Linked DNA regions of Arabidopsis thaliana. The protein of the gene in region 4 binds, or shares a complex with, the protein of the main gene of each other region. Each region holds a gene or a part of one and is shown on either strand. Other genes may lie near its edges. The genes, in order: Tic20-II, TIC55-II, TIC40 and TIC110.

What was found.
Region 1: TIC110 (region 4) and Tic20-II share a complex: the UniProt entries of both Arabidopsis thaliana proteins name them as parts of the tic complex.
Region 2: TIC110 (region 4) and TIC55-II share a complex: the UniProt entries of both Arabidopsis thaliana proteins name them as parts of the tic complex.
Region 3: TIC110 (region 4) and TIC40 share a complex: the UniProt entries of both Arabidopsis thaliana proteins name them as parts of the tic complex.

What each region holds. Positions count from the first base shown.
Region 1 is NC_003071.7:19,593,664-19,596,814, reverse strand, and holds Tic20-II (putative conserved protein ycf60), read left to right. Parts: upstream 1-1,813; 5' UTR 1,814-1,857; coding exon 1,858-2,484; 3' UTR 2,485-2,628; downstream 2,629-3,151. Other genes in the region: AT2G47850 (Zinc finger C-x8-C-x5-C-x3-H type family protein), read right to left, coding at 1-63, 151-213, 543-682, 775-862; AT2G47844 (uncharacterized protein), read right to left, coding at 1,376-1,522; AT2G47830 (Cation efflux family protein), read left to right, coding at 2,842-3,151. UniProt on the Arabidopsis thaliana protein: May be involved in protein precursor import into chloroplasts. Not redundant with TIC20-I, TIC20-IV or TIC20-V.
Region 2 is NC_003071.7:10,572,990-10,577,482, reverse strand, and holds TIC55-II (translocon at the inner envelope membrane of chloroplasts 55-II), read right to left. Parts: upstream 2,542-4,493; 5' UTR 2,446-2,541; coding exon 2,051-2,445; intron 1,960-2,050; coding exon 1,857-1,959; intron 1,776-1,856; coding exon 654-1,775; 3' UTR 545-653; downstream 1-544. Other genes in the region: AT2G24830 (zinc finger (CCCH-type) family protein / D111/G-patch domain-containing protein), read left to right, coding at 1-490; AT2G24810 (Pathogenesis-related thaumatin superfamily protein), read right to left, coding at 2,784-3,019, 3,102-3,236, 3,295-3,450, 3,567-3,621. UniProt on the Arabidopsis thaliana protein: Involved in protein precursor import into chloroplasts. Part of the redox regulon consisting of TIC32, TIC 55 and TIC62.
Region 3 is NC_003076.8:5,448,637-5,455,111, reverse strand, and holds TIC40 (hydroxyproline-rich glycoprotein family protein), read right to left. Parts: upstream 4,493-6,475; 5' UTR 4,305-4,492; coding exon 4,109-4,304; intron 3,858-4,108; coding exon 3,740-3,857; intron 3,652-3,739; coding exon 3,594-3,651; intron 3,484-3,593; coding exon 3,466-3,483; intron 3,056-3,465; coding exon 2,746-3,055; intron 2,627-2,745; coding exon 2,520-2,626; intron 2,413-2,519; coding exon 2,349-2,412; intron 1,987-2,348; coding exon 1,902-1,986; intron 1,797-1,901; coding exon 1,756-1,796; intron 1,572-1,755; coding exon 1,526-1,571; intron 1,420-1,525; coding exon 1,325-1,419; intron 1,244-1,324; coding exon 1,140-1,243; intron 1,040-1,139; coding exon 992-1,039; intron 910-991; coding exon 856-909; 3' UTR 535-855; downstream 1-534. UniProt on the Arabidopsis thaliana protein: Involved in protein precursor import into chloroplasts. Part of the motor complex consisting of a co-chaperone (TIC40) and a chaperone (HSP93) associated with the import channel (TIC110).
Region 4 is NC_003070.9:2,129,687-2,137,395, forward strand, and holds TIC110 (translocon at the inner envelope membrane of chloroplasts 110), read right to left. Parts: upstream 6,018-7,709; 5' UTR 5,878-6,017; coding exon 5,354-5,877; intron 5,271-5,353; coding exon 5,211-5,270; intron 5,126-5,210; coding exon 5,002-5,125; intron 4,896-5,001; coding exon 4,827-4,895; intron 4,733-4,826; coding exon 4,634-4,732; intron 4,505-4,633; coding exon 4,438-4,504; intron 4,120-4,437; coding exon 4,055-4,119; intron 3,978-4,054; coding exon 3,883-3,977; intron 3,453-3,882; coding exon 3,325-3,452; intron 3,252-3,324; coding exon 3,151-3,251; intron 3,010-3,150; coding exon 2,793-3,009; intron 2,487-2,792; coding exon 2,332-2,486; intron 2,178-2,331; coding exon 2,052-2,177; intron 1,946-2,051; coding exon 974-1,945; intron 866-973; coding exon 617-865; 3' UTR 367-616; downstream 1-366. Other genes in the region: AT1G06960 (RNA-binding (RRM/RBD/RNP motifs) family protein), read left to right, coding at 6,244-6,316, 6,729-6,901, 7,185-7,278, 7,381-7,460, 7,578-7,709. UniProt on the Arabidopsis thaliana protein: Involved in protein precursor import into chloroplasts. Forms a voltage-dependent cation-selective channel at the inner envelope of chloroplasts, which specifically responds to a transit peptide.

The DNA.
Region 1 (3,151 bases), on a different chromosome or scaffold from region 4:
ATTCTTTGGATGGTGGAATTTGCATGACGCCCCAAATTTACAAGTTCCAGTTTTCAAGTAAAACTGCCAGGAAAGCAGAGATCAATAATATCACAAAAAACCTTGTTTCATCACTTGGAACATATAAAATGACTGGTCGGGGTGGGTTACCTGGCATGGGGGTTCACCAAAACGTTCAGGATACTGCCCGGTAGCTCTAACAGTTGCTTCAACCTATACATGAATCAACATGAGAAAATAGTAAACTGTGGCCAAGCTAAGATGACAAAATGATAAGCTTTTACAAGAGCATACAAAGGTATCAGTAAATACAGGGAAACACCGGGTAGAGTCAATGCATAAGACAAAAAAAAACGTGACGTAAAGCACAACAACTGAAACCAGTAAAGCTTAACAATTTCCCCAGTTTAGAGAGACTCTATAAGGCCAGTGATCACCCACATTGCGGAAAAAACAGAGAGAAGCATTTGATTGTGTCCTCCTAGTATGGATGGTTTCAGAACAATAATAAGAAAGAAGAATGAATGAGAGGAAGAAATTACCGAGGCACGATCGCGAGGGTGATTGTAACGACATCTATTACCGTAGCCACAGACACCAGTTCGCATGTAGTAGGCACAGTCAGGAGCACCTGGTCTCTCAGGGTACGAGTCGCTACCCAACCCTAATCGCCACATCGATTCTGCAAATCACAAAATTGAGCACAGTCAGGGCCATTTAGCGGAAACCCTAAAGAGACCGTACAGTTGCTGAGAATCAAAGCGCATGCGAGACCTTGGAGTCCGGTATCGGCATCTGCAGGGGTCCAGTCGGGAGCTTGAGCAGATTGTGAGCCATTGAGGGGAGGATTGCGAGCATACATGTCCTTAAATTTAGGGATTTGGTGTACAGTAAAAAAGATACTAGTAAAAACTCCTCTCACCAAACTAGAAGAAACTAATAAGAGAGTAAATGTCAAAAGCTCATCGGTGGATCGACAGAGATTTACCGGAGAAGCCGATTAGAAAAGCTCTGAGAGAGAAGAAAAAAAGAAGAAGAAGAAGAAGAGATGCTTCGACAGTGATTGAGAGGAGCTTCTTCTTTGGTCGGTCTCTCTCTCTCTCTCTCTCTTCTTTCGCTCTTCAGGAATACCGTACGGTCTGCCCTCTGCACTACTGTTTCTTTTTTTAGCTTTCAATTTCTTTTTCTCATATTCTTTTTTAAATAATAATAGTATATAGTAGTAGTTTGTATTAATTTGTTTTGTGAGATTTATTTTTGGTTCTCTCTTGGTCCTTGGGTCGCCAAGTAAAAGCATCCCAGAAAAGGGAAGATATTTCCAAGAAATATACTACTTGACAAAACAACAAACAAAAAATAAATAAACTAATTTTTACTAGTTTCCAACCAAAATGACGGTAAGGTCCTTGGGCGGGGATAGCGCGCGAGTGGCCAACATGTGACACACAGACAGTTTTCTCACTTCACTTGCTAACTCGGGGAGTAAAGTGGTCTGGTCCGAAAGTGGGGACACATCCGTCATTTCTACCTGCTACTGTTTCTTAACTGCTCTCTCAACTCGCTCTGACCGAGTCTGACTCGACTCGACTCGCCTTCAATCAATGCCATCACATTTCTTCGTTTCCGCTTCCCATTTGTCGGCGCCACAAAAACCTTCTGTTGTTCACGAAGCCCTCTAGTACCATATATAGGCCCATTTATATAGCTAAGTCGGCCCAATTATGTTGTTAGTGTGCGCGGGCCAAATTTTAGATTCGAAAACGGCAGCGTTTGAGCTGTTACTTTTTTTTGCTCTTCTTGTCAACAAATCGACACTGCCGACTAAACAGCGAAAATCCCAAACAAAAAAATAAAAGAATGGCGTCTCTGTGCCTTTCTCTCCACCAAACCCTAACTAATCCCCTGTCGGCTCCCAGATGCAGACCACTCAGCCTCTCCTTCCCCGGATCCTCAACCTTCTCGATCCGCCCCTCTAGCAGACGCGCAACCGCCTTGACGACCCGCGCCTCCTACACCCCGACGCCGGCGACTGAGCGCGTGATTTCGATAGCGTCGTACGCGCTGCCGTTCTTCAATTCTCTGCAGTACGGGCGGTTCCTGTTCGCGCAGTACCCAAGGCTGGGATTGCTGTTCGAGCCAATCTTCCCAATCCTGAACCTGTACAGATCGGTGCCGTACGCGAGCTTCGTGGCATTCTTCGGGCTGTACCTGGGAGTGGTGAGGAACACGAGTTTCAGTAGGTACGTGAGGTTCAACGCGATGCAGGCGGTGACGCTGGATGTGCTCCTGGCGGTTCCGGTGCTGCTGACCCGAATACTGGATCCGGGTCAAGGAGGCGGGTTTGGAATGAAGGCGATGATGTGGGGGCACACGGGGGTTTTCGTCTTCAGCTTTATGTGTTTTGTGTATGGAGTCGTCAGCTCCTTACTCGGCAAAACTCCATACATTCCATTTGTCGCTGATGCCGCCGGTAGACAACTCTAATTCCGGCCAATATCTACCTCACTCAGTGTTCGGGTTTTCGATTCTAGAATCGGTTATTTCTGGTTTATAAGAGAGACCAAATCAATCAGTGTTGTTAATTAACCATTACCGTTTTAAAAAAAATATTTTTTGTTATACTCCCAACATTTGATTTGGCCCAATATGAAAGAACAGTATGGGGGGCCTTTAATGAAGCTATCATTGACTGAGTATAATTTTACAATCGTCGGTGAAAAGGTAACTAAGTAAACGGTAAAAAAATGAGCGCCGTCTATCTTACCGCGCAATGAATGAGAAGTCAATTTGGGAAACTGATCGGAGAAAAGAGGGAGAGAGGGTTTCTCAGCTGAAATCAAAATGGGTATTATCAGATTTCAAATCCTGAATCCGACGAGGATTTGTAGGTCTACTATATATTATATGTCTTGCCGTTATCTGCCATCATCATCATCATCATCATCACCACTCCGAGTATCTTCTTCTTCATCGCAAAAACCTAGTTTCGATTTCTCCAGAAGGTGGCATTTTGGTCACCCTGATCATCACCAGCAATATCAAAAGCCTGGAGAAGAAGGGGAGAAGATATTCCGGCTAGGTCTCACCGCAGATATAGGTTTATCTGTCGCAAAAGCTCTCACCGGTTATCTCTGCGGCAGCACCGCCATTA
Region 2 (4,493 bases), on a different chromosome or scaffold from region 4:
TCCAGCAAAGCGGTCACTGGATTATGCTCTTGAGCACATTAGGAATGGAGAATGTAAAAGCGAGAAACAAAAGAAGAAAAGGAGCAGAGGTGGGAAAAGGAAGCGTGGGAAGAAGTTTGCAGAAGCAGCTAAAGCAGCGAAACAGGAAGAGGAATCGAAGCCAGATTTGTTTAGCTTAATCAATGAACAAATTTTTCCTACCCGCCATGAGAAAGTACACAGCGAGTCTGTAAAAAATAGGCAAAACAAAGGTCCAGTAGACAGGAAAGCTTTGGTTGAATACCAAGATGAAGTCAGAGACTTGAAGTTAGAAATGTTGAAACTAGAACAGATGGTGAACAGAAACAAGAAAGATCTAGTTGTTTCAGAGGCTGCGACGAGAAGATTGAAAGAAGTCCGAAAGGCATTGGCAAGTACATTAGCATGTCAAGCAGCTGCCTCAAATGCTATAGTAAGCAAAGAGAATGAGAAGAAATGGCTCAAGTTTTAGAACATAGAACTTTAAACCAGTTTAACAGAAATTTCATGGTTAAACTGTAAGATTGATGGCAAACATTGGAACCTTCTGAATTATATAATTGCGTTTACAAGCAAAAATTTATTTCATGAAATACATATTGTTGGAAGAAGAGGAAACATGACACTATACATTTTCATAGTCTTCTGTGTGTTCTAATGAAGTTATTGGTGTTTAGATTTATAGCTCTTAAGCAGGTATAAGCTGCGGCTGAGCACAATGCTGCTGAACCTAACAGGACAGCCTTCCACTGTCTACTAACCACCAGAATGGCCAAAGCCGTCAAAGCCACTGCCGTGGCAGAGAGGATATTTTTCCAGAGCTCAAAAGATTTGATCACATTGCTGCAGCTTCTACAATGAATAATATGTCTGAAGTACCGGTTAGCCAAATTGGGAGCATGCATAGTCCCAATTCCGCCTTTTGCAGGGTAAGAAGCAGAGAGAGCTGCAATGAGCCCTGCCGGGGCATGTTCCACGACAGGAGGGACTTTGGGGAGAGATATGGTCCTATGCCCGAAATGGTAAGGCATCCCATGACCAACTTTGTCCATCCACTTTCTATATTCAGCGACCCATGTGTCCGATGACTTTAGATTCAAATACAAGTCCTTAGTTGGTACTTTCTCCTTCATCAGAACCTCATTTTGAGACGATAGAAACCCCATGTCTTGTTCAAAAACCTTGCAGGCATTCTGATGCCAGAACCATTGAGGTAACACCGAAACCAAAGGCGATCTTTTTGTGACCCCAAACCTAACAATAAGCATAGACTTCCCTTGCCCTGTAGGTCTACAAAGAAACAGCCCTGAAAAATAGTTCTTCACTCCATCCTTCCCCTCGAACTCTCGATTGTTCTGCAGAACACAAGGAGCATCAAACCGAAGTAAATTACTCCCTTTCCCACCTTCTTTCTCTCGGCCCCAAGTCCCTGCGAAACCCCGATTACTTCGCTCTGTGACCTCGAAAACCAAAGGCTGAGCATCTTCTCTTTTAGCAGTGAAATCCGTTCTATCATGAGAGATAGGAACATGAGCAGGATCCATCAGATTCTCTAAAAGAATGGAATGGTCATAAGGAAGCTCATGAGTAGTCGAAATGTCGAAAAAACCGGGTCTAGCGAAATTCTCAAACCAAGGAAGCTTCTCAGGGTTTGGAGGTGTCTTTGTTGACATCCACACCCACACAACTCCTTGTGAATCCTTCACCTCATACGTCTTCACACAAGCAGCCTTTGGAATCTTAGCACTTGCAGGAAGCTGTTAGAAACAGAACCCAAAACCAGTAAGTACAGAGTAAAGAGAAAATCTCGAAATAGCAAAAATCAGTAAACAAAGAACCTGAGGAATCTTGACACATTTGCCCTCTCCTTCAAATTGCCAACCATGATACAAACATTCCAATCTCCCATCAATCAATTGTCCTTCAGACAACTTAGCCAACCTTTATAAAAAAAAAGACAAAACTCAATTTCAGATTCCTAAACAAAAGTACAAAACTAGTGGTTGTGGTTTTGCTAGATGATTTATCTTACCGATGAGGACACCGATCTTCGTAACAACGAAGTGTTCCTTCACCGTCTTTATACAAAACAATTTGACGATCGTAGACGGTGAGGCCAAGAGGCGCATCTTCAGGGACGTTTTTAGTTAAGTACAATGGATACCATTCCTCTGTCCAATCATAATCCGCCACCTCAACACGTTTCTCTTCTTCAGGGTTTAAAAGAACATCTCCACCTCCTTCTGTTTGATCAGATACGGCGGTTCCAGCGACGGCGGAGCGGCGGAGGAGACGTAGACGAGGCTTTGTGGGTATAGTGCATGTTGATCTGTGGTTGTGGATTATTGGTGTTGGTGTTACTTTAGTGAAGAGAATCGGAGAAGTGGGTGTGAGTTGTAGAGAAGAGCTTAGAAATGGAACAGCCATGGCGGATTCTTCACTAGAGAGCTCGAATCCAATGTTAGGTGTTGTTTGCCTCTTCTCATAAAATATATCATAAGGTTGCTTGTTCAACCATTGGACCTCGTTCCACCACATACATAGATAGTAGAAACTTTGGCTAAACGACGTCGTTTATTTTTACGTTATTTAAATGTCATTTTAACTTCTTTTTATTTTATTTTTAATCTTTTAAGTTTTAACATTAGTCTTTTTTGCTTTAATACATTTCATAGTGATGAAAAAAAAACATAAAACTATGTTAATAGTGATTAATTATTTATTCATTGTTGATAATAATAACAATAAAAAAGGCTATACTATGCCTAAGAACAGAAACTGATAACATAATTAGCACTAGTACATGTAAATCTACTCGAAGCATAATCGTACACATAGCTATACGCAGTGGGACAAGCTCCTTTAAATATCTTCGAGTATTTCGTCGGCGGGCAAGTCTCCGGTTTACTGAAAGCGCCGGTGCAACAATACTCCGGTTTGTTAAAAGCCTCACAAGCACTCTTACACGCCACAACACCCGATGAGCCGTTAACGCGTAGCTCTTTTGGACAAATGGCATTCACGTCCGAAACACATCCCGCGGTTTTACAATTGCCTGAGCCACCTTGTGGTGTGATTTTCACCTGAACGTTGTAACCGTCGACGAGACTCACGTCGTAAGAATCTTGTACGGTGTATTTCTTTCCAGAGGAGCCGATTCTGAATTCTGCTAGTGTGGCTGGTGGTGCTCCTCTTGCACCGGTGCATTTTTACATTTTCTGGAACCAGAGGCGTTGAAGTTGCAGCCCGTTCGACCCCAGATTCGACCAGACCAACCTGGAGAAACGGTTAAGTTTACAGAAGAACCTGAAGCTAAGGCAAATCCGCCGCCGCGGAGTAGTGTGCGGTTTGCGGTTAGGATTCCGGGCCACACAGTAAAGTTGCAGCGGTTTGATAAAGTGAAGACGGTGCCGGAGACAATAGAAATTGTACCTTGAAGAATATACAATTAAAAAAAAATTACTAGGACGGACAACAAAAAAAAATTATCAGATAAATTATTAAATCAAAGTAGTCATCTTAAAATGTTGGAAATGTTTTATGTATACATGTGGCTATGATGAAGGAGAAGAAGAGAAGATGTAATTTGGAGAAAATAGCCATTGTTAATCTGAGTATTGAAAAGTTGAAGTTGTGATGATTAGTGAAAGTTGATGGTGAGGATCCTCTGTTTATAGTGTTTTTCTTTTCTTTAGAAACAAATCCATTAACTTATTGTTTTGGATACTACTACCATAAGTGACACTTCATATTTTTATTTTTTTTACTTTTAAAGTTTAATGAGATTTTGTTTCTTATTACATAAAAATCAACTTTATTAATCTTAAGGAAATCTCCGTAAGCATTGATGTTTTGGATTTTACACACATTAAAAATTAAACATTATTTTATGACTGTTTATTTTTTATATTAAATATTTTTAATAACTATAAACTAATACTCATTGATTGTAATCTAATAAATTTAATCATTGCATCCTGAACTTTGTGATTTATAATATCAGTCAATAAAGAAGAAAAGAAAAAAAAAACTACAAAATTAAAGTGGAATAAACTTAAAATGATTAGAAAAAGATGGAGTACATTTTTTCTATTATTTTTTCACAAAGCTTTAAACCTAACATTAAAAAATTTGCTTGTTTTGTTTCCTTCGAAATTATAAGATTATTGCTTAATTAGGTTATTGAATTCGAGTCCAAAGCCACGACCCCCAGGTTTTAAAATCCAAATATCTCCGTTGCTTGTTTATTTTTGTTCTATATCGAGTTTATTATCTAAAAACGACAAACCTTTTACTGATTTCCACCATTTCTTGTACTTTTCAGGTTTTCTGAGACATGAAAGACAAAGAATTGGCTTATCAACAGAAACTATCAACAAATAAAGAGTTTCTGAAGCACATTATTAGATCCTTTTGTACATTTTTCTATTTATAGATTCTCTCTTCTTTTTTTGTATGCAAAAGTGACATATACT
Region 3 (6,475 bases), on a different chromosome or scaffold from region 4:
TTCTGAATAATCATGCTCACAGAATATCACATACCGTCAAACATTACGATTTTATAACTAAAACACTCTTCAAATGAATACCAAGCAAGGATGGTTTTTTCTCCTCGATTTTCTCAAGAGTCAGGGGATTATAAAGAACGGAAATACAAATTTGAAGTCACAAGGATACTTACCCACGACTCAATCATGCGACTCACAGCCGTCGGAGGCAGACGTATTCGACGGAGCCAAGGATTTCACGCGCCAATTCTCCCGACAACGACCGACGTACGGAATACAACAACAACAAAAAAAAACTCCGACTCCGATAGAAGTGGAACGATAAGGGTCATTGATTTCTTTAAGATGGGGCCATCACTTCATTAAACCGCTTCGATATCGCCACGTCACTTCTCCTTTTGGATATTAAAAATAAGGTAAAATTCCAAAATAAATCACAACTATTTAAAATTTGCGAGAAAAAAACTTCAATTTTTTAAATTGCTAAAACAAAATATTGGCAGATTTATTCACACAATCTCAAACAAAAAAAATTGAGGTTTTTTCAAGCAAATTTTGAATACATGAAGTTTATTTTGGAAATTTTCCCTTAAAAATAATAATTTGCTCTTCAGTGTCTTCATAGACTTTTTTTGGTAAGACAACAAATTCTATTGTATAATATTCATACCAAACAACAGCAGCGGCGTTTTCACACGACTCCAATTCCCGACCGCGTTTAAGATTAACATGGTACACAATTCTCTGATCTGACCAAAACTGAAGACTCTTTGCAAAAAAAAAAACATTTTTTTCTCCCTACAAAAAGCTAAAGACAATGTGACATTTTTGATAGAACCAAAGACGTGAGCTTTTTCAACCCGTCATTCCTGGGAAGAGCTGCGATATCTTGTTGAACACATCCATTACCTGCAATCAATGTATAATAACCTCAAATTTCTTAAAAAAGTAATCGCCTTTTTGGGCAATGGAGAAGTGGCAGTATTATTACCTCTTTGTCGTTTTGGTACTTCATGATGTTCATTGGGTTCTCTGAGCACTGCAACAACAACAAGAATGTAATTGGTTTCTGTTTTGTATGAAGAAAGAAGTGGGGTAAAATTAAGCAATTCTCTTATTCAGGTTAAAAGAAAACGTACTTCCATTAACGCTGCTTGGACTCTAGGATTCTGGAATGCCATGGCAACATCAGGGTTCTCCATGATCTTAGATATGACTTCTTCTGGAGTTAGTCCTATTTGATCTGACAAATACAGATTCAATCATTGAGTATCAGACCTATTTAACGTACTATTAACTTGGTACAAACTGAGATTTGTCTTACTGAATTGTTGCTTCACTTCAGGACTATTCAGGTCAAAATTCTTCAATGTATCTGTCATTCGCTTGTCCCATTCACCACTCCCACTCATATTATTCCTAAATTCATGAAAAGAAACAAACAAGAGTATTTCTTAATTACATAGTTTAGACATTCTTAAAAGCAATGGAAACAACTAAATTGTTCGTAAAATGGAGCTCTTACAACATGTCCTGTAGTTGTTGACGGTACTGAGGATTTTTAAGCATCCCTACAAAATTCCAAGCGGAGACAATAAGTACCAAACTGTATTTTAAATTTAGATAACCATTGGATCAACCTATAAACGAATTACATCATTCAAAAGCTAGTCATGTAACCTTTAGTCTTTAGAAATATGTAAAAATGAGGACTAATAAAAGAATGATAGCAGGATTAAATATTAAAAGACTTACATTTGAAAGTTTCTGGGTTCCTCATCTCCTCAGGCAAGTATCTGCATTTATACATGCAATGTTACCAAATGTCCACTAAGCAACCAGTTTTAAAGATAAACTTAATGGATGCATTTAAAGACAATGTGCTAGGGAAGATGAGTTACGGGTAAACCATCTTCTGGACTGTTGGATCTTCCATCATTTTCTCTAAAGCTTCTACAGATAAACCCGGCCCTCCTTTCCCACCACCTGTGTAAACAATAGACAGACTCAGGATTCAGTTTTAAATTTAGAATAAGGAAAAGAGAGACAATAACGTGAGCATATAAGAAAAAAGAATCATAACACATGAGATATGAAACAGATTGCCAAGGTAATATCCTGCAAGTCTTATATGGTTATACCAATACAGATCAACGACTAGCAGAAGGACAAAAGTAACGGAGTAGATCCTTTTGAAGCCAACTCATTCCTCTTTATCACCAATTTCATATCTTCCTTTGTTTATAATTGTTGGCATATGCTATAAAATAAAATTGAAATCCGTAGCCTTAATCATGAATCATGCACAGTGCGCTGATAGTGATGAAAACTGAAATTCAATAACTCACCCAAAGATTGAAAAACCTCTGAAGCAGTGGCACCATTTGCCGGACCAGCTCCATTTTGCAAGACCTTCACCCAGAGATCAATAAGAGAGCATAGAAGGTTAGCAAAACTATGTCACGTTTTTAAATCACCACTTGGTGTGCTGTGGAAATACAAAAGAAAACGAAACTTACATCCTCAAACAAGCGAGTTTCTTTGGGGGAATTAGTTTCAGAGACTTCTGCATAGTTGCTAAATGGGCTTTCTTTTGTGGTTTCCTCGGGTGAAATGTCTTCAAAGGCTGCATCCAAAAGTAAATCAGCTTCCAAGTTAGAAGCTTGGAAAATGAGAAAGGAAGAAAGTCAAAATTGAGAATACAAATGAAAAGACGTTGATTTCTGAAACAGAAAAAGAATCTACCATAGTTCTTTTCTTCTTTCTTCTCTTTGCTTGCCTCTAAGACAACACTTGGCTTATCCACCTCTATATCCTTTGCAGGTGTAGGTTTCGGTTTAGTTGAAGGAGGTGTCTCTACTTTTGTCGCTGTCACATCAACGGTAGCACCTGAAGACTGGGATTGAGATTGGAATGGCGAGGAAGCAGGACTTGTTTGAGGAGGAAATGGAAACGGAAAAGGTGATCCTGATGGGAATCCAGAATTATTAAACTGGCTATTTTGCGTATTCATTTGGTTCATCATCGTCTTCATAGCTGTTTGCATTGCATATTTCTAAACCAAAGCAAAAAAAAAAATCCAAAGAGAGTAACAGCCGGTTAGAGAATAATGAGAGAAAGCAATGACAACTTGTATAATATATTTCAATCAAATACTGGAGTTGCGAAAATGACTATAAGTCTGAATACCTGAGTTGCATCACTAAAACCATAATGGTATGTAGGTTACCATCTACGAATCAAGTGACTACCCAAAAAAAGAGAGGCAAAAGTTCGATGCTTATATAAACGGTTCAACAAGTGTGAGCAAACAGTTCACCTTGTTAAGATAACCAGTTTAGTGAATAAAACTATCTCAGATACATGAGCACAATACACTAGAGTTGACATGAAGCATAAAATCGTGGTTCTGCAACAGACTAGAGAACAAAAGTCCCGTAAAACCAGAGGGCCAAGTATCTGTACCTTTAAATTTGAAGTTACCTGCAATGCCATCAGAAAAGAAAAAAGGTCAAGCACTTATTAATCAATATTGAAGCAAGAAAGAATATTTATAGAGGAAAAAAAAATTAGGAAGGAATCTTGATACTCACATATGAGAACAAAGCTGATAGACCAACACCAACACCAATCCAGAAAAGTGGTGATCCTCTACAAGAAAAAAGAAAAAACACAATTTAATAACCAAGAATCAAACGACATACAAACTAAGCACATTGTCCAAAACCAGGAAAATTACATGGTTGATGAAGATGGTGGTGGCACAGGCACACTAGGGGAAGCAACAGAAGTTGTCTGTTGATCACGACTCGAAGAAAATATACTTGCAAAAGCTTTGCTTCTCTGTTTCACAACCACTGCAAATCGAACATAAACTTAAAGTAAACAATTCTAACAATGAATGGTTTCTACAAGAATTCAAATTGCAAATTCACAAAGTGTGGATTTTTTTAAGAGATATAGCAATTCATAAGCTCATATTAAACCAGTCGAAAAGGGTTCGCAATTTGAGTTTCAATAAGATAGATAAAAGTAATAAACTGGAAATTTTTCCGGAAAATTTTGGCATTTGCTATAATAGAGTGTCGAGTGGAATTTGCAAACTAACCGATTTCTCCAGTGTTCTCCGGACGCGAAGAGGGAGATTGAGATTGAGCAGAGGCAGATATTTTGGAACACCGGAGGACAATATTAGGAGTCCGACGAGAAAACCCAGTAGGGTTTTTCAGCGAGGAAGTGAAATTGCATCCAATTAACAGCTTTGGAGAAGAAGCTGAGCAAGAAACTAGGGTAAGGTTCTCCATATCTAATTGTTTCTTTGGGAGAAAAAGAAACAGAAGAAGGAGAGCCTAAAACAAATTCTGGTGGAGAAGATGAAAGATATGATGAGGAAGAAGGAAACGAAGAAGAAGAGATTTTGGTCTAAAACCACGAGGTTTGAGTTTAGCACTAGACTTGGATCCAGTGTAGCTAAGTGTACTGAAACCTTTTTACAAATTAACAGGTGGCGATATTTTCACCGTCAAGATCAATGAGTTTTATTTATAAACCAAGGGTGTGATGTGAGTGAGAAACTCTTTCGAGATTATTGCAAAAGCCATCCCCCACTTTTTCTTTTTGTTATGTTATAGCCCGTATCTATTTTAAGAATCAGTGTACACTCATTTTTGTAGCAGAAAATCAATGATGTTAGTACTGTGATTCAGATTTTTCTATATACTGTGTTCTTTTTCTTTTTTTCATCCAGAATTTTTCCATTGTATTATAGGTTGTGAAATACAAAGGGTGGAATACAAATTTGAAACACAAAGCCGGCGGAAAACAAAAATATCTCCGGAAACTAAACCTAAAGAAGGGAAAACTTAAGACGAAAAACGAATAAAATTACGAACTATGGAAACAAGGGGAACCACAGATGGATTAGTCCCCAATTAAGCCCATACATGAGAACAACAAAATTGGCTAGGTTTTTCGTTGTGTTTCTCGTCCAAACGAATGAGACTACGCCCAAATGGGACTAATCCATTTGTAGTTATACTGTTGTGTTTTTCGGATTGTCCAAAAAATTGAATACTTAGTTCAAAGCTCACAATGAACAGGTTCAAGAGCCTTACGCCTTTAACATTGATTTAGGATTAGAGAGTCTGGAACCGTTGCCGAGTTACATAGTTTACACATTTCTTATTAGAAAAGAGTTTTAGTAATAAAGAAAGATACACTTTCATATAGTTTCTGAATATTATTATGGAAGTGTAAGTCTCCTATATGTAACTCGTTCACCTTCATCATCAAATTGGTTTACACAGTTTGTTCCATATGTCATTCCCAAAGTACATTGTTCTGTCAAATTATTCCACCATGTGGTAAACATCGAATAATGCTCTCTTCTATTTTCCCAATTTTTTGTGAATTTTCCCCAATTCGAACATAAAATGACATTAAAATTCCTAACTCAATATCTTTGTAAGAAGAAACCCACTCTTGGTTGGATACATATCAAGCATCCAAAAAAGATCACAAAGTAATCTTACAAATCAGCTACGTTTAACAATATCGAAGACAAAAACAGAATTCATAGCTGCTTCTCAGACAAAGGGCACAATGATTCCACATATGAGTGCTTGAGAAAATGATAATGTTCTTCAAGATTTAAACTAAGAAAAATATCGAACAAGAGCTCTACACTGATCTCTTCCTTGATCTAAAACACAAAGGGAAACAAATCCCCTTCAAGTATTTTAGATCAAAGTGTCATCAAGCAATACATATAGCTCAAGAACTCTTTCTTTGGATTAAATCAAGAAGAACCACATCACATTCTCAAGCCCATCTTTTCAGTGTGGTTAAAGCAATATAATCATCATAGAACAGCCAAAAAAACAAACCAATTTTTTTTTTTAAAACAACAAATTTAGAAAAACTGAATATGAGAAAAAGCTGCTTCTCAGACAAGGGCCAAGGTTGTCCACATGAGTGAGCTTGAAAAACGTGAATGTTCTTCAAGCCTCAAACCATGAAAAATGTTGATAAGAGCTCGACATTACTCTCTACCTTAATCTAAACCACAAAGGAGAAAAAGAATCCCCTTCAAGCAACTTAGATCAAAGTGTCATCAAGAAACTCCGAGATCAAATCTAATCTTTCTCTGGTTTGAATCAAGAAGAGCAAAATCACATTCTCAACCCCATCTTTTCAGTGTGGTTAAAGCAAAAAGAATCATCATAGAGCAGCATCAAAAAGCAAATTTTCACAAAACCTTTATTTGAGAAAAGGTTAACACTTTATCATAGAAATTCGAAGATCTAAAATATCCAAACATAAGATCAGAATTAAAAACATAGGAAGATGTCGAATCTCGAGAAAATGCTAGAATCCACGGGAAAAAAAATTCCCAGAATGCTACATGTCCAGAGACTCCAAACCATCAATGAAGATGTTTGATTTAGCATCGGAACATAAGATTTCTTTTAAGCTA
Region 4 (7,709 bases):
TTTCTTATATTTAACTCTCTCCTATTTTCTTATTAATTTTCACTTCTTTTTTTTCTTTTTTTGTAATCTTGGAAATAATTTCTAAAAACTATGTTTCATCGATTCATATCATCATCTCTATGAATCAATTGATTGGATCATATGGCTTCTATTTTTGTCTTTAAAAGACGTGCTTTTGTATAATTAGAAATTTCGACAAAAACATACTATAACGAGATCAGATCTAGTATACATGTTGATTGTTGAGTATTGTTCTAGTTGTGTGCAGTCATGTGAGACCACCATAGAATTAACAATTAACTTTCACTTACGGTGTTACGGTCAAATCATTTCATTAAAAAAAAAGTTCTCAATGATTGAATTAACTGTTATTCTATTTTTTAGGTTCGTTATGCGGGAACACCCGTCACGTGACACCACATGAGCACTTCAAAGCTGCGCTCTAAATTGTATAAGGGATACACTTCTCGTTTGCAGATTTTCAAATTAATCATATCAAGTTTATGGTTCTGATACAAAATTTTCACAGACTTTGGTCAAATTTCAAATTCAAAATCATTTTTCCACCCTCGGCCGTAACACAATACATAATAACTCAAGTGATTTCTCCAAAGATTTAAAAGACGAAATTGCCCTCTTCTGCAGCAGAAGATAATGCTCCATCTTCCATTTCACGGAGGGCAGTTGCAGTTGAATCATCTATTCCCAGCAGATATTGTAGCCTCAAAACTTTTTCCGGTGCGGGTTTGGGATCACTCTTTGAATAAATAGCATATAGATCAGATAATTCCTCTGAGACCTCCCATGACATTGGCTCAGCCGGCACAGCTTTGTCACATGCAAGCAAATCATTCAGCGACAAGACCTGTAAAACCAAAAAAAAAAAGCATACATACATACACAATTTAGACCCAGAAGCTGAAATATCCATGTTTTCTGTCACGATAAGAGAGGGAAAAGATGATTTGCATACCACTCCTTTAGAGTTTCTCTGCCTGAGTAATGCCACGGCTTGGACCAGCGAATTCGATAATCTACTCTGAGCGAGATCATGGACAACTCTTTTGGCTTTTTCCACATCAATACTGAGATCGGATGGGATTGTCTGGTAGACTTCGGTTTCATCGAATTCACCAGTTCCTGATGAGAAGATGTCACTCACTGTCTTCTTGAATAATTTCTCTCTCAGACTCACAGCGATCATGCTGTCCAGGCTGACATTTGCCTCCTTGAGCTCCCGTATCTGCTTTATGTTCAGTCTTCCTTGGTTAACAGCGGTCTCTATCGCGTTTGCCATTTTTGTGGTGGTTATATTCTTGATAACCTTCTCGGCTTGTGGCTGAGGCAAACCAACTTGTTTTTGCAACTCGTCTAGCTGCTCTACTCTAGCCTTTGTCAATTGCCCATCAGCTAAAATCACTTCAGCTTGTTGCCTAAAAGCCTGCTCGGCTAAACCTACGTGAATGTTGACTATTTCTTTCGAACTCAATCCGAGAATCCCACCAAGCTGATTTAGAAGCAAGTACTCTGAATCGTCTCTCTTTGTTGTGATCTGGGCGCCAAAAGGGATTCTTGTTACCTCTCCAGTTACACAGTAGAGCAAGTATGTTTTGTAGAGATCTATTCTGTCCCTGTCGGGAAGGTCATCTTTGAGAGTTATCTCAGTCTGGCCAGGCTTTCCCATTTTCTCAGCGAGTTCCTTGTCGGGTCTTGTCTTTCTGAGCGATTCAAGGGATCCCCATTCTTCATCTTCATCATCTTCTTCTTTCTCTTGAACAGGGTCCTCCTCAGGTGCCTTATCAGAAGATTCTCCCTTGATATCAGCCACCATTTCAGTCACAACCAACGTGTTGAAAGCAATCATCTTCTTGAGCTCCTTTGCTGAATCAGTACGGTTCTCGGCTGCTCTTGCTCGTCTGATATAGTTTGTGAAAACCCTACGGACCTGCATCAATGAAGGGATTTGATTTTCATGTCTTGCTATGAGAAGTCAGAAAATTTTAACAAATCCTAATACCAAGCATGGAGAAAGTAAATAGTGTGATACTCACAGCTTTGCTAGCAATAGACATGGCAGTCTCTCTGGATAACCGAAGACCATGTGCAGCCTTTCTAACTGATTTGCGAGTTTCAGCATCATAACCATCCACTCCAGAAGAAATGGCATCCCTGACAACCTGGAAAGATTAAACAAAAAGGTAATTAGAGGTAAAACCTTTTGGTAACAAAATGCGAAGGCAGAGAGGGAAGCAGAGGGAAATTGCAGTGCCAAGACCCAAGACCATGAAAAAACCCTTGATAAAGGGAAAAGGGAGGTGATAACTGGATTACCTTTTCAAATATGGTTCCACAGATTTCTGCATGAGCTGTATCAACAGTTTGCTGGGGAATACACAACATAACTCTTAACCTTAATAAAGCAGCAACATTGTCATCGCTCAGCTCTCCATCAGTAACACACTGTTGAAGCTTCTGCCGATAGATTTCTGAGGAAGAGAAGGTGCTTGTCAGATGATTGGGAAAAAAAGACCAAATAGATACTCAAACTGTAAAATAACAGCATGTAACCCACTGAAACACCAGACTTGTTAGAAGTCTGTTAAGAACCAAATCTACAACACTAAAAGCTAGCTTAAAAGGATAAGGAACCCGCAAGTTTACAAGCCATCAACTAAATTGATACCCATGGACACATCTTACATTTGGGCGATTATGTGGCAATTCCAACTGTATACCTCATGCATAACATAAAAACATAAGATTTCATTGTGAACAGAAGGTTCGGCTTATACCTTCATGGATTGCGCCTGCCTTCTGTGCATCAAAGTGCAGCTCTTCGCAGAGCTTTTGAAGGTATTTTGCTTTACTGTCTTGTGCTTCAAGGTCACCACTAGAAACAGCGTTAGCAAGTCTTTTACGGTAAGACTTGGACGTAACATCAACACTAATAGCTTCAGCCTCTCGTTTTCCCAGACCGAGTATGTTTCTAAGTTGGCTCATTGCCACGAGCTACCATACAGTAGAAAGACAATTAGAAATGGAAAAAAACATGCGACTGGGATAGAGGACACAGCATCTGAAAACACTTACTCTCAAAAAAACTTGCAACTAAGCTTTAGTACATAATATCTTATACAAAACTGAGTATACCTTATTTTCTTCTAAGCGCCCACCAGATAAAGCATCTGTAACATATGCTCTATAAAGGAGCTTTAAATCATCCATTCTCCTCTCAAAATCAGACTCATCACCTAAGCCACATAGATCCAAGGTTGAGAGCCAATAATTTTTCTTCAGAAAAGAGAAGGTCAAAAGCATCTTCACCTATCAAAGAAATAGGGCCAACCCCGCGTGCAAATTGATCTGCCTCTGAATGACTTTTCAAGGAAACTAGCAGGTTGTTAAACTCCAGTACTTTTTCAAGCTCTTCCACGACAGATGCCAAACTCTTCCTGGAAAAAATCAGGTCGTTAAAATGACATGCATTGTAAACTACTATAAACTAGACATACTAGATGATCCAATTTGTTTCCACTATTAATTATCACAAGATACAAAAACGCCTATAAAATTAAAATCTCATGACTTTTTTTTAAATACTTATACTATAAGACAATTCACAAAAGCAAAAGAGATCATATGACCAATCAGTTTTTGCAATAACCAAAACTCAAAACTAAAGCCAAAACTTCAATCTCTTTTTTCAACCCGACCAAACTCAATGTTCAAGCAAAGGAATACATATACCCAGCTAAAGTCATAACTCATTGGTATAAGAAATAAAAAAGTTAAATGTGTAACCAAACTGTTCACATGGATAATGATTATTCTATACGATTTTTCTATGCATGATTCTGTAAGCAATATGTTAAAATGATTTACGCTGCTCGTGTGCGGGATTTGAGTATGCTGAGTGCCGATGAAATGTTCTCTACGACTACTTTTCTCGTATGCTCTCTAAACAGGTCTTCAGCAAGCTATGAGGGAGAAGAAACTGTCAGAAGAAGTACAACCAGAGATAGCAGGAAGTCAATGCCACAAAGAAATAGAGTACCTCATCAGAGAGCTTGAATGATAGTTGTGATTTTCTAAGGTCCACAAGGTTTTCTACGTTAATATCTGCAAGAACATGTTTAGAAACATAACCATGTAAGTTTCCATGCATTAAGCTGACGAAAAAGCTAAGTCATATCTTTTTTTGGTTGTCAAAAAGCCATATCTATTATCAATGTTAAATGAGAAGGGACCATTACAGTCGCATGCGAAGTAACAATTAAGGTTGGTATTCAGACAACTTGCTGATAAACGAATATTACAAAACCCAATGGACAAAGAAGTGCCACAATAATCAATATAACCAAGTCAAGCAAACTCAAACCCGTTCTACAAATGTAACATTACTTCCCATCTCAAAATGTAAAACATGAACAACATTACCTCTACCAACTAATTTTAACCGTTCGGCATACAGCTGCTTTGCATTTTCACGAATAGCAATCTCAACCTAGAAATGAGGTCAAGACATTAGCACAGAACTTCAGATTACCAAGAAGGAGTGAGTTGCCAAAATGAAACTTCCATAAAACAACTATTGCGCAAAATCAGAAGTATGAAAAAAATTGGAAATGCCTACCTGAGCATCTGTGACCTTCAATACTCGCTTCCAAGGTAGAAGGAAGGATGAAGCATCTCCAAACACAAGAGCTGAAACATATACAAGCCTCATAAATGCCTGCACTGGAAGCATACAACTTGTGATCACGCTTGTGCTCTCTTTCGAACAATCCTACAATAAACTTAACAAATACTAGGGACTGGCGACTCACCCGACGCTGTTCTGCATCACCTTCACGCTCCCCAGTCTCAAGCCTTTGCCTAAAAATCCTGCGACCAATCTAAACAAAACCAAGGAATTGGTGATTCAGCAATCAAGATCCTTCTGCATCAACTACAAAAAGGCTAACGGCTAATTCAAATGAAGATTAAGAATCTAGAAAGCACCTCCATGTGCATGGCAGCTGCATCAGGTTCGTCTATCCCTAAAGCATTTTTGAACTTGACTATCTTCGCCACTTCATCCCCTTTAAGAGACTGTCCTTCAGTTGGAAGCACGGAAGTTACATACCTAAATCAAGATTAAGATGCAAAGATTACTAATGAATTCCCCACACTAAGAGAAAAGATGAACACAGTATCCTTTGTTGACTCACCGGCAATAAATATCACAAATCTCAGCCTGGAATGCTTCGTCTCCTTTGTTGACACCGTACCTGCAACATATAAGAAGGATCGTTTAAGCAAACTTTTGTTTATAAATCCCAGACACAAATTGACAATTAAATGAAGCACTCACCTATCAGCGATCTTTTCTACATCATCTTTCGTCACAGAGGCAGGATCTTCGAATTCGGCAACATAATTATGCAAACTGATAGCAGCTACCTCCGGTACAGCAGAGTTCAACGCATATACGACAGCTCCACCGGCGGCTCCAGCAACAGCAGCCCCACCAAAGGCAATATTCCTGGAGCCGGCTAAACGGAGCCCAAGGCCGTAACCAGTAGCTAAAGACGCCGCTAATACAACAGCTGAAGTCGCTAGCCTCACCGGCGGTGTCATTTTCTCAACAATCGGTTGCAATCCAGTGAGCTCCTTCTTATTCCCATGGATACCGGGATTCTTCGCCTGCGTAGATACTGATAGTTGGTCGGAGGAAGCAGCTGAGCTACGAGGGAACGAAACTCGATAACGACGGCGAGATAGACACTCAGACTTGGAGAAACGGTGAGGTAAAGTAGGTAGGAAGTGAGAAAGAAGAGGAGACCGAGGAGAAGGTGAAATTGGAGCGTTAATGGCGGTGACGAGTGAGGGATTCATGGTTCCCTCTACTGAGAAAGATCCGAGCAGTCGTTGAAAAAAAGAAGAATCGTAGGGTTTAACGAAAAACAGTAGACAACGGAAGAAGATAGAGATGCGAACGAAGAAAAGGGGAAAGAGATAGGGCCTAACAAAACATCAAAATCCCCTTTCGAACGTCCAGACGTTTTTTAATAATATTATAAAACTACGTGTTGTTTTACTCTTCGGTAACGGTAAGATGTTTACATAAAAAAACAAATTAGACGCCTTGTGTAAATTGGAAACGCCACGATTTCTTCTCTCTTCTTGGCTCTTAGGGCTCGCTAAATTTTCTCAGGGCTGTGACCATCGACCATCGTCGTCTTCGCGGAGCTCAGTTGAAAGATGTTAACGGCTGATATACCACCAAATCAGTCAATCTACATAAAACATATCAATGAGAAGATCAAGAAAGAAGGTAATGCTTACGAAATTCATATAATTGCATCGGTGATTTTCTAAGAGTTTTTGCAATGCTTAAGTAGCTTGGTAATGCTTGTGTGAGCTTCTCTTGAATGAGTTGTCTGAGTTTAAAGTTGCTTAATTTGATGTTTACGAAGGTTAGATTAGATGCATTTAGAGTTATCTTTCTAAGTATTAGGGATTTAGAATTTCTGTCTAATCTTAATAGACCTGAACTAGAGATACTCTAACAAAGGTGCTTTATTTAAGTAATTAAGTAGGAAAGGCGATTGCTTTTGCCATGAAATTTGTTTAGATTGTTTGATTGAAGTCAATGACCTTAAGTTCTTTAGCTGCTGCTTTTGTTTGTCTAAGAGTAATGCTGTTCAAGCAGATCATTGTTTAATGTTTCCACTTGTTTTTTTCAGAGCTGAAGAGGTCTCTTTACTGTTTGTTCTCTCAGTTTGGAAGATTACTTGATGTGGTTGCGTTAAAGACTCCTAAGCTCCGGGGACAAGCATGGGTTGTTTTTACTGAAGTCACCGCTGCTAGCAACGCTGTCCGTCAGATGCAGAACTTTCCTTTCTATGATAAGCCTATGGTACCTTTTTCCTCTCTTATGTTCCAGGTTTATCTATCCCGCTACCGAAAAATGATTTTATCTTGTTATGTGAGACTATAAGCTTAGAAAGTTGCAGAGATTTACTTGGAGGGAAAATTGAGTTTGCTTGCTGATACTTGTTGTTATATAAAATTGAAGGAAGTACAACGACATTAGATGTTGAGGGTATATCATTACACAAGTGATTACTAAGTAAAAGACTAGAAAAAGCTAAATGCAATATTATTATTCAAATCGTGATGTGTGATCTCTGTGGGTGCAGCGGATACAATATGCAAAATCAAAGTCAGATTATGTTACTAAAGCCGAAGGGTCTTTTGTTCCAAAAGAAAAGAAGATGAAGCAAGAAGAGAAAGGTTTAAACTTTCGTTTCCATCACAAGTTCAGATCTTTTCAGCTCATTTCATCTGTGTTTTACTTCGCATCTGATGTTTAACAAAACTGCACATCACTTTCAGTTGAAAGGAAGCGACATGCTGAAGAAACTCAACAACCAAGCATGCCTAATGGCGCAACTACTCAGAACGGAATGCCTGTGGCAATTTCTCTTTCTCGCATCATTCCAACAATACAATATTATCTTCTGACAGACGTCATTATCGCAACTTAGTCTGTAAATCCTTGTTTCCTAATACCCGTCTCTGTAATTTCACAGCCTCCTTTCCAGCCGAGTGGGCAAGACACGATGCCACCAAACAACATACTCTTCATTCATAATCTTCCCATTGAGACGAATAGTATGATGCTTCAGCTGCTCTTTGAGCAATACCCAGGATTCAAAGAGATA